Linked DNA regions of Callithrix jacchus. The protein of the gene in region 1 purifies or fractionates together with the protein of each later gene. This does not show direct contact. Links are inferred from orthologs where the notes say so. Each region holds a gene or a part of one and is shown on either strand. Other genes may lie near its edges.

Evidence for each region. Proteins that work in one complex are often made in the same cells at the same time.
Region 2: the proteins of LSM4 (region 1) and PATL1 purify together in Homo sapiens (co-immunoprecipitation; 4 studies listed by BioGRID and IntAct, with this or other methods). This does not show direct contact. The link is inferred for Callithrix jacchus from reciprocal best matches to the Homo sapiens genes LSM4 and PATL1.

What each region holds. Positions count from the first base shown.
Region 1 is NC_133523.1:17,038,226-17,043,972, reverse strand, and holds the start of LSM4 (U6 snRNA-associated Sm-like protein LSm4), read left to right. Parts: upstream 1-2,339; 5' UTR 2,340-2,401; coding exon 2,402-2,404; intron 2,405-5,747. UniProt on the Homo sapiens protein: Plays a role in pre-mRNA splicing as component of the U4/U6-U5 tri-snRNP complex that is involved in spliceosome assembly, and as component of the precatalytic spliceosome (spliceosome B complex).
Region 2 is NC_133511.1:116,971,487-116,976,504, reverse strand, and holds part of PATL1 (protein PAT1 homolog 1), read left to right. Parts: intron 1-51; coding exon 52-269; intron 270-1,730; coding exon 1,731-1,820; intron 1,821-3,029; coding exon 3,030-3,210; intron 3,211-4,314; coding exon 4,315-4,438; intron 4,439-5,018. UniProt on the Homo sapiens protein: RNA-binding protein involved in deadenylation-dependent decapping of mRNAs, leading to the degradation of mRNAs. Acts as a scaffold protein that connects deadenylation and decapping machinery.

The DNA.
Region 1 (5,747 bases):
TTGATATTATAAATAATGTCAATAAATAGCATCAGTCATTAAAATATGGGCTGGGCGTAATCCCATATTACGTAATCCCACGCCAGTAATCCCAGCACTTTGGGAAGCCGAGGTGGGTGGATCACCTGAGGTCAGTAGTTCGAGGCCAGTCTGGCCAACATGGTGAAAGCCCGTCTCTTTTAAAAATAGAAAAATTAGCTGGGCATTGTGGCATGTGCCTGTAATCCTAGCTACTCGGGTGGCTGAGGCAGGAGAATCCCTTGAAACTGGAAGACAGGGGTTGCAGTGGGCCAGGATCGTGCCACTGCACTGCAGCCTGGGTGACAGAATGACTCCATCTCAAAAAAAAAAAAAGGATAGGATCTTTGCAGATGTAATTAAGGATCCTGAGATGGCATTATCCTGAATTTAGGGTGAGCTTAATAAGAGAAAGGAGTGTGCTTGTAAGAAAAAGGAATGGCTAGGCCGGGTGTGGTGATTCATGCCTGTAATACCAGCACTTTGGGAGGCTGAGGCAGGCGGATCGCCTGAGATTGGGAGTTTGAGACCAGCCTGGCCAACATGGAGAAACCCCGTCTCTACTGAATATACAAAAAATTAGCCGGGCTGGCGTAGCATGCCTATAATCCCAGCTACTCGGGAGGCTGAGACAGAATGGCTTGAACCCAGGAGGAGGAGGTTGCGGTGAGCCAAGATCACGCCATTGCAGTCCAGCCTGGGTAACAAGAGCAAAACTCTGTCTCAAAAAAAAAAAAAAGAAAGAAAAAGAAAAAGGAGCGGCTGGGCTCAGTGGCTCAGACCTGTAATCCCAGCATTTTGGGAAGCAGAGAGGAGGGAGGATGGCCTGACCCCAGGAGTCTGAGACTAGCTTGAACAAACATATGGAGACCCTGTCTGTCCCAAAAAAAGAAAAGAGAGAAACATTTGAGCCTGAGAGACACAGAGAAGGCCAAGTGAAGACAGGGGCAGACAGAAAGCAGAAGACTCCATGTATAAGTCAAGGAACTCCAAGGACTGGCAGCAGCCAGCAGAACCCAGGAAGAGGCACAGGACACACAGAGCCTCCGGAGCGAGCCAGCTCCACTGACAGCCTCAGTTCAGAATCTGGTCTCCTGAACTGTGAGAAAATCACGTTCTGTTGTTTTAAACCTCTCAGTTTGCAGGCGTTTGTTACAGCCCCAGGAAACAACAGCATTTGCCTATTTACTTTGTTTACTGTCTCCCTGAGAGCCACGAATTTTGTGTTTTGTTCATTTCTGTGAGCAGAAGCAGGCACAAAGTATATTGTTAAGTACTTAATATGCGCCAGACCTGTTTTTGTTTGTTTTGAGACAGAGTTTCGCTAGTTGCTCAGGCTGGAGTACAATGGCGTGATCCTTTGCCTCCTGGGTTCAGGCTGGAGTACAATGGCGTGATCCTTTGCCTCCTGGGTTCAAGCGATTCTGGGATTACACCACTGCCGGCTAATTTTATTTTTTTGTTTTTTGTTTTTTTTGAGACGGAGTTTCGCTCTTGTTACCCAGGCTGGAGTGCAATGGCCGATCTCGGCTCACGGCAACCTCCGTCTCCTGGGTTCAGGCAATTCTCCTGCCTCAGCCTCCCAAGTAGTTGAGATTACAGGCACGCGCCACCATGCCCAGCTAATTTTTTTTGTATTTTCAGTAGAGACGGGGTTTCACCTTGTTGACCAGGATGGTCTCGATCTCTTGACCTCGTGATCCACCCGCCTCGGTCTCCCAAAGTGCTGGGATTACAGGCGTGAGCCATCGCGCCCGATCGCCAGGCGCTGTTTTAAGTGCTTTTTACATAGTTTCACTCATTTCATCCTCACAGCAAGCAACCTTTTGGAGCAGACACTACTATTATAACCCATTTTACAGCAAACTGAGGCTCCGAGGGGCGTGGTCAGGATTCCAACCCACTAAATGATGTTCCTGGATAATTACAGAATTAGAAAACTAGGAGTCCGAAGGGCGACCTGAGGGACGTCCCAATCACCACGAGACCTCGCTGTCTCTAAGACTGCAAACGAAAGGCATTAACTGGCTTTGCCCACAGCGTGGAGCCCGAGACCGACGGCTTCACCTGCGCATGCGCTTACCCACAAAACACCCCGCGCCTGGGCGCGTTGCTCCGCCCCCTTTTGCATTACAAGTCGCGACACTTTACGGCTCTATTCCTCGTTCCTCCGGCGGGAACGCGGCCCGCCCGCCCCTTTCGCCCAGAGGGCCCCGCCGTGTTCCGCGTGGATTGGTTGGCCGCCCTTCGAGCCCAGTGCTGACTGGCTCGCGTGTCTGCCACTTTCTTTCAGCCTAGTGGCGCGCGGCGCTGCGACGACCGCCGGGAGCGTGTGCAGCGGCGGTGGCGGAAGTGGCCGGCGAGCCCGGTCCCCGCCGGCACCATGGTGAGGGCAGGGCAACGGCGGGGTCTCATCGGGAGGCGGGAGCCGCAGGCGTTGGGAGCCCTCCGGGCGGGCGCTGACGGTTGGGTTGGCGCGGGGTGAACGTAGAGTCAGAGCCTCGCGTTCCGTCTCCCGGCACGAGGCTGGGAAACTGAGGCTGGAGACTGCAGATGGCTCTAGGACGTCTGTGTCTGAGATTTAGGGTTGCACGGGCTTGTATCCGTAGTACAGCGGGCTCGCTTTACTTAGTTTTTCCCATTTTTTCCCCTCAGGTGGGGAAACTGAGGTCAAAAAAGGTGGGGGCCCGCCAAATGCAAGTTTTTGGGCAGGGAAGGGGCCCCGAACGCTTCGGGCCCGGTCAGACCTCCCAGATTGAAAATTAGAGTGCTGGGAAGTAGGGGGCCAGTCTGAGTTGTGAAACTTAGCTTTAGGAATTTCAGAGCTTGCAAGATGCATAAAATGCTCGCAGCACAGCGTCCTAGGCCTGTTGTTTTCTGTCTGAAAATCGGGCCTGGTGCTGGGGTGTGGTCTTTCTCCTTGGGTCACATAGCATGTCATTCCAGGGGAAGGGGGCATTTTGAGCAGGAGTGGATAAAGTGCATCCTCCCAATACACAGAAGGAAAAACTGAGGCCCAGGTCTCTGCAGGGCCAGATGTTTGTGATTATGGAAGTTCTGGATCTGGGCCAGAAAGTGCCCGTGTCCTCAATGTGCAGATCGGAAAACGAAGTCGGAGCTGGGAATTTCCTGGCCCATCAGCATCTGGCGCTTCTTTTTTCAGGGAGAGAAATCTAGGCCTTTGTTGGGGATGTGACTTCCAGACTCTGTGAGACAGTGGGAGATTTAGTAACCAGGAGGGACCCACAGGGGTGGCTGCATCAGAGCTGAGGATTAGTAAGAGATGCTCCCTAAATCCTGGGGTCAGTGTGTAACCACCCAGTGGGTTCACTTAGCCTGCTTCCTAGACAGAGCCGATTTATCAAGACAGGGGAATTGCAATGGAGAAAGCAATTCACACAGAGCCAGCTCTGCAGGAGACTGGAGTTTCACTCTTGTTGCCCAGGCTGGAGTGCAGTGGCACAATCTTGGCTCACTGCAACCTCTGCCTCCCGAGTTCAAGCTTTTCTCCTGCCTCAGCCTCCTGAGTAGCTGGGATTACAGGCGTCAACCACACCATGTCCGACCAATTTTTTTGTATTTTTAGTAGAGACAGGGTTTCACCATGTTGGCCAGGCTGGTCTGGAACTCCTGAACTCAGGTGATCCACCCACCTCAGCCTCCTGAAAGTTCTGGGATTACAGGGTGAGCCACTGTACCCAGCCTAGGGGATCCGAGTTTTTAAGATGATTTGGTCGGTAGGGGCTCAGGAAGTGGGGGGTGCTGATTGGCTGGAGCTTCCTGAGGTTGGAGATGGAGTCCTGAGGAGGTCGAAGTGAGATTTTCTTGCTGTCTTCTGTTCCTGGGTGGGATTCTGTCCGTGGGTGGGATTGCGGGACTGGTTGAGCCACATTACTCGTCTGGGTGGTGTCAGCGGATCCACCTAGTACAGGGTCTGCAAAAATATCTCAAGCACTGATCTTAGATTTTTATAATAGTGATGTTATCCCCAGGAGCAATTTGGGGAGGTTCAGACTCTTGAGCCAGAGGCTTCGTGACCCCTAAACGATAATTTCTAATCTTGCAGCTTGTCAGTCCTCCAAAGGCTGACTGGTCCCCAGGTAAGAAGAGGGTGTTTTCTGGAAAAAGCTATTACCAATCTTGTCTCAGAGTCAAACTATAGACTGAATTTCTTCCCAAGGTTAGTTCGGCCTATGCCCAGGAAAGAGCAAGGACAGCTTAAAGGTTACAAGCAAGATGGAGTTGCTTAGGTCTGATCTCTTTTTGCTGTCATAATTTCCTCAGGTACAGTTGTTGCGAAGGCGGTTTCAAGTGCAACAATTCAGAGAAGGGAGCCGGCCCCTCCTGCTGTGTCCCCGAGGGCAGAGTTGGAAGGGTCCATCCTGTGACAAGTTTTATGGAAGCAGGATCTTCATTTTTCTTCCCTCTATTATTCCCACTGTGTAGAACGGTGCGTGGGCAAAGTTAGAACTCATTCATTCAGCCCGTCCCCACCTTCTGAACATCCAGAGTCCCCAAGTCCTGGCTATCCAGGCGTTTCCTGGAGGAGTGGCCAAGAATGGACGAGGCGGGCCAGGTGGAGTGGCTCATGCCTGTAATCCTAGCACTTTGGGATGCCGAGGTGGGTGGATCACCTGAGGTCGGCCAACATGGAGACACCCCGTCTCTACTAAAAATACAAAATTAGCCTGGAGTGGTGGGATTACATGCTTGTAATCCCAGCTACTTGGGAGACTGAGGTAGGAGAATCACTTAAACCCAGGAGGTGGAGGTTGCAGTGAGCCTAGATTGTGCCACTGCACTCCAGCCTGGGCAACAAGAGTGAAACTCCGTCTCAGGGGAAAACAAAAAGAATGGACAAGGCCTCATGGGATACACACTTCCAGTTCCCTGTGGTCAGGGTAGGACTAGGAGTGACCTGGGTTAGCAGCCGGGGAGGGCAGTCCTGGAAAGCTTCTGGAATTAGGAGCCACTGGATTTAGTCCTCATGGGTCTAAACCTGAGAACCAGACTCCAGGTGTTCCAAGAAAGCGCAGAGAAAGGAATTCTCTTTTCTGAATTTTCTTGTGATCTTCCCTGAGCCAGGTGATGGGGCCGCTCCCATCACACTTGGCACTTTTTTCTTTTTCTATTTCATTTTATTTATTTTCTGAGACAGTCTCGCTCTGTTGCCCAGGCTGAAGTGCAGTGGCACAATCTCGGCTCACTGCAACCTCCACCTCCCTGAGAGCGATTCTCCTGCCTCAGCCTCCCAAGTAGCTGAGATTACAGGCACGTGCCACCACACCTGGATAATTTTTGTATTTTCAGTAGAGATGGGGTTTCACCATGTTGGCCAGGCTAGTCTTGAACCCCTGACCTCAGCCTCCCAAAGTGTTGGAATTGCAGGTGTGAGCCACTGTGCTCTGCCAACTTTTTTTTTATTTTCATTTTTTGAGCTGAGATCTCACTCTGTCGTCCAGGCTGGAGTGCAGTGGCACAATCACTGCAGCCTCAACCTCACTGGCTCAAGTGATCCTCCCACCTCAGCCTCCCAGAGTCCTGTGATTATAGCCACAAGTCACTGTGCCCAGCCGCACTTGGCCCTTTGATGTATCTTCTTTTAAGTTTTTAAGGATCCACCCCTTCTGACCTCATTCTTCAACAGGGTTTGGAGGTGAAGATGGAGGAGGAATCAGGACGTGTGGTCACGGCTCCAGGCCACCGCAGCTGTGGAGGGCCTGGGAGTC
Region 2 (5,018 bases), on another chromosome or scaffold:
GCAGGGGGACTTGCTGATTGTGTGAATCTAAAATCTTGTTCCTCTTTGTAGCTACAGCCTGGACGGATGTCTCCCAGCCAGTTTGCACGGGTCCCTGGATTTGTTGGTAGTCCACTTGCTGCCATGAATCCCAAGTTACTACAGGGGCGAGTTGGGCAGATGCTTCCCCCAGCACCAGGCTTCCGTGCCTTCTTTAGTGCTCCACCCTCTGCTACACCACCTCCACACCAGCACCCTCCTGGTCCAGGACCTCACCTGCAAAACCTAAGGTATATGAAAATCAATGCTGCTGCTTATTGATTGTCAAGCAAGTCTCTTGATTGTGGATGTGTAGTTTTGTAAGTCTCTTGATATTTGCTAACTAATAAATTTTAAGATGTTATCAGATCCTCAAGTTAGCAAACACGGAAATGTTTGACAATCTCTCGGCTTTCTTGTGAATCAGATTTTCCTAACATTATCAGAGGGTATAGAACCGAGAGATAGATGCTAAAAAGTCAGATAATTTTCACACTAGCTAAGTTGTTTGCTTTTATCCTCTGATTTTATAACAACAGGGGTTCAAGTTCCTGTTTCAGTGAAGTTCTATTTTATTACATATCGTATTGTAGCAGTCAGGATTTTTCAAGAGAAACACGAGAACCAGTAGAAGAAAGACAGCAAAAATGTTCATGTGAGCAGGTTTTATTTTAAGAAATTGGCTCATGTGATTGTAGAGGCTGACAAGTTCGAAATCCATAGGACAGACCAGCAGGCAAGAAAAAGGTAAAAGCTCAAGTTGCAGTCTTGAGTTTGAAATAAGTACGGCAGGTCAGCAGTCAAGACACTCAAGCAGGACTTCTGTGTTCTAGTCCTGAGGCAGACTTCCTTCTTCTGGGAAACTTTAGTTTTGTTCTTTGGCCTTCAACTGACTAGATGAGGTCCACCCACATTATTAGGGGTAATCTCTTTTGTAAGGTAAACTGATTATAAATGTTAAACACATCTATACAAAATACCCTCACAGCAACATCTAAACAGTGTTTGACCAAATAACTGGGTATTAAGGCCTAGCCAAGTTGACATGCAATATTAACTATCGCACATGTATCTTTAATGACATTCCCACATAGTTGAAGCTGAGTACATTAAATCTACTTAGACTTCTGTTAAACAGTTACAAGCAAAAAAAAAAAAAAAAAAAATTCTGCTTTACTGCTAATTCACTCAGATTTCATGATCATCCTTTTAGAATTTGGTCTTTGTGGAAGATATGTAAAAATAGGACTATCTTTTGCTTCTAAAAGGTCTCCTTAGAATAGACTTTGTTTTTTTTTTTTTTTGAGACAGAGTCTCTCTCTGTCTCCCAGGCTGGAGTACAGTGATGCAAGCAATCTCAGCTCACTACAAACCTCTGCCTCTCAGGCTCAAGTGATTCTACTGCCTCAGCCTCCCAAGTAGCTGGGACTACAGGCAGCTGCTACCATGCCCAGCTAATTTTTGTATTTTTAGTAGAGATGTGGTTTCACCATGTTGGCCAGGCTGGTCTCAAACTCCTGACCTCAAGTATTCCACCTGCCTTGGCCTCTCAGAGTGCTGGGATTACAGACGTGAGCCACCGCAACTGGCCCAAATAGACTTTTGTAGTCCCTTAAGTTAACCTGTATGAAGTTATCCTGTACTGACACATTCTTTAAAATTTCAAATCATCGGGATGACAAAACTGAGAACCTCTTTTACGTTTTTCTTAGATCTCAGGCCCCAATGTTTAGACCGGACACAACTCACCTTCATCCACAGCACCGTCGACTCTTGCATCAGAGACAGCAACAGAATAGAAAGTAAGTGCTTGTCCAACTCCTTTATGGCTTCTTAATTCAGCTTTTAATTTTGACAGTATAGCAACATGCTATTTAGGTTTTTTTTTTATTAAGTTTGCTTCATATCCATAAACCTGTATATATTATCCACATGTATAAATATGAAAAGCTTAATATTGAGTAAAGAAGCAAGGATCAGAATTACACGTACCATTTATGTAAAACTAAAAGGGATACAGAATAATACTGTGTAATATTTAAAGACAGATACACAAGTAATAAAATTATAAAAACATTTCATGGAGGATACCTACCAAGGGCATAATAGTAGTTCCTCTATGAGGGAAGAGAAGCTGAAAACTGGGTCTGGAAGGGCACAACAGGAATCTAACTATTAATGTAACACTGTGTTATTTTAATATTACTTTAAAATATTTGAAACGAATTTGACCAGATACATTTTTTTTCTATTAGGTCTAGGTGATGGGTAAATGGATATTTATTTTAGTATTTTCTGGGCTTTTTGTCTGCATTTGAAATATTTAATGATTTTCAATGAGTTAAAAAAATTTATGTAGACTTCAGAGCCAAATCAGCCTGTGTTAAAATCCCTTAGTCCCCCACTAGCTGTATGGCTTTGGACAAGTTATTTGAGCTCTCTTGGCATCTGTCTGTTGTCTTAAGTAAGGAAGAGAAGACTCCCTACCTCACAGAGTTATTCTAGGGCTTATAAAAGTATCTTAGCATATGGTAAGATACTCAGATCTTAGATTTATTTCTTGATTATTTATTACGTAGCTCTTTCCTCTTAAATTCTATTAAGACTTGGTTCTTTTTCACTCCCCCTTTAAGAAAAGCAAAGGGGAATCTTTTTTTTTTTTTGGAGCCTTGCTCTTGTTGCTCAGGCTGGAGTGCAGTGGTATAGTCTCGGCTCACTGCAACCTCTGCCTCCTGATTACAGGTGGGTGCCCGGCTAATTTTTGTATTTTTAGTAGAGACAGGGTTTCACCATGTTGGCCAGGCTGGTCTCAAACTCCTGACCTCAAGTGATCTGCCCAACTTGGCCTCCCAAAGTGCTGGGATTACAGGTGTGAGCCACCGTGCCTGCCCAGGGAATCTTTTTTTTTTTTTTTTTTCAAAAAAAAAAGAAAGTGACCTGGTTTATTCATCTGTTGTTAAAAATCGTAATTAATTTGCCCACTTGGAGTGAATATGGTGTATGTTTTTCAGTCAGCATCGGAATCTCAATGGTGCAGGAGATAGAGGAAGTCACCGGAGCAGTCATCAAGATCATCTCCGAAAGGATCCATACGCCAATCTCATGTTGCAGAGGGAAAAGGATTGGGTCTCTAAAATCCAGATGATGCAACTGCAAAGCACTGATCCCTACCTGGATGATTTTTATTACCAGGTAAATACTCTGTGCTAGTTTTGTGGATAATAGTTTGGTCCCTTACACTAGTAAGGATACTCATTTAAATATTGGTACAATTAAATATTTGTAAAATTTTCTTTTGAGGTACTTAGTCTCTTGCGCTATTCACTACAGTTTACTTATATGCCTTTTACTTATATATAGAGGCTCTCAGACTAATATTTTCAAATCCCTTTTGGCATCAATAATATGTGTTTTTGGTTAGGGGTGGGATTGCGACAGGATCTCTGTTGCCAGGCTGGAGTGCAGTGGTCCAGTTTAACTCACCGCAGCCTCGAACTCTTGTTTGGGAGGCCCATTTCGGCAGATGACTTGAGGTCAGGAGTTCAAGACCAGCCTGGCCAACATGGGCTCAAACAGTTTTCCACCTCAGCCTCCTGAGTAGTTAGGACTATGGGTGTGTACCACCACACTAATTATTTTATTTTTATTTTTGTTTTTAGATAGGGTCTTCCTCTGTCACCCAGGTTGAAGTGCCATACTGCAGCCTCAACCTCCTGAACTCCCTGTGACCCTCCCGCGTCAGCCTCCCCAAAGGGCTGGGGAGGCCCGCACCATCATACCCCAGCTATTGTTTTTGGGTTTTGTAGACATGATGTCTCACTATGTTGCCCGAGCTGGTCTTGAACTCCTGGGTTAAAGTGATCCTCCCACCTCGGCCTCAAAGTACTAGAATTACAGTTGTGAGCCACCATGCCCAGCTCAATTTTTTTATTTTTTGTAGAGACAGGGTCTCACCATGTTGCCAGGGCTGGTCTCAAACTTCTGGCCTCAAGTGATCGTTTTGTCTCAGACTCCCAAAGGGCTGGGATTAGATGCTTGAGTCTCACCCAGCCTGTTTTTTCAATTAAGAATATTGGCAGTCTAAAGAAATTTCCATTGGTGTTAACTAACTTGAAGGCTGGGTTTTTGTTTTTGTTTTTTTGGGCTAAAGTAAATTTGTAGCAATCTAACAAAATTAGAGATCAGTATATTTCTAGAGTTGAACTTGTGTTACTGTCACTGGTATAAATTATTTAATGGTAAAGAACAGTCATGTTCTATGCTTGTGTTACATCTGAAATCATCTTCTCATGGTAGAATTACTTTGAAAAACTGGAGAAACTGTCAGCTGCTGAAGAAATACAAGGTGATGGCCCTAAAAAGGAGCGCACCAAGCTTATCACCCCTCAGGTGGCCAAACTGGAGCACGCCTATAAGCCAGGTAAGGTCCTCATAGGAAAAATGCCCATAATAAAAGAAATTTAAGAAGCTGCTGATATGATTAAATACAGATATTTGTATAAGTGGAAGGATGTATAAAGATGTTTCAAAGTGTTTTTAAAAGTACTGTTGTCCTTAATAAATACAAAAGTCAGCCTTTATTCAAGCCTGGAATGAATGATTTGACATGTGCCCTTTTAGGTCCTTTTCTACTTGAGATTTCATGATTTTTTAAATGTATTCTAATTTTCAGTACCCCTAAAAGAAGTAACAGGGAAATACTTTAGATTTTTATTGTGATAATTATTGAAGCAACAAAAAAAGAGCAAGAAAGGATAGATTTTAATAAGGGGTTGCTTTTGTCTTTTTTTTTTTTTTTCTTTTCTGTTTTTGAGAAAAGATTCTTACTCTGTCACCCTGGCAGGAGTGTATTGGCGCAATCTCAGCTAGCTGTAACCTCTGCCTCCCAGGCTCAAACGATCCTCATGTATCACCCTCCTGAGTAGCTGGGATTACAGGTGTGTGCCACCATATCCAGCTAATTTTTGTATTTTTAGTAGAGATGGGGTTTTGCCATGTTG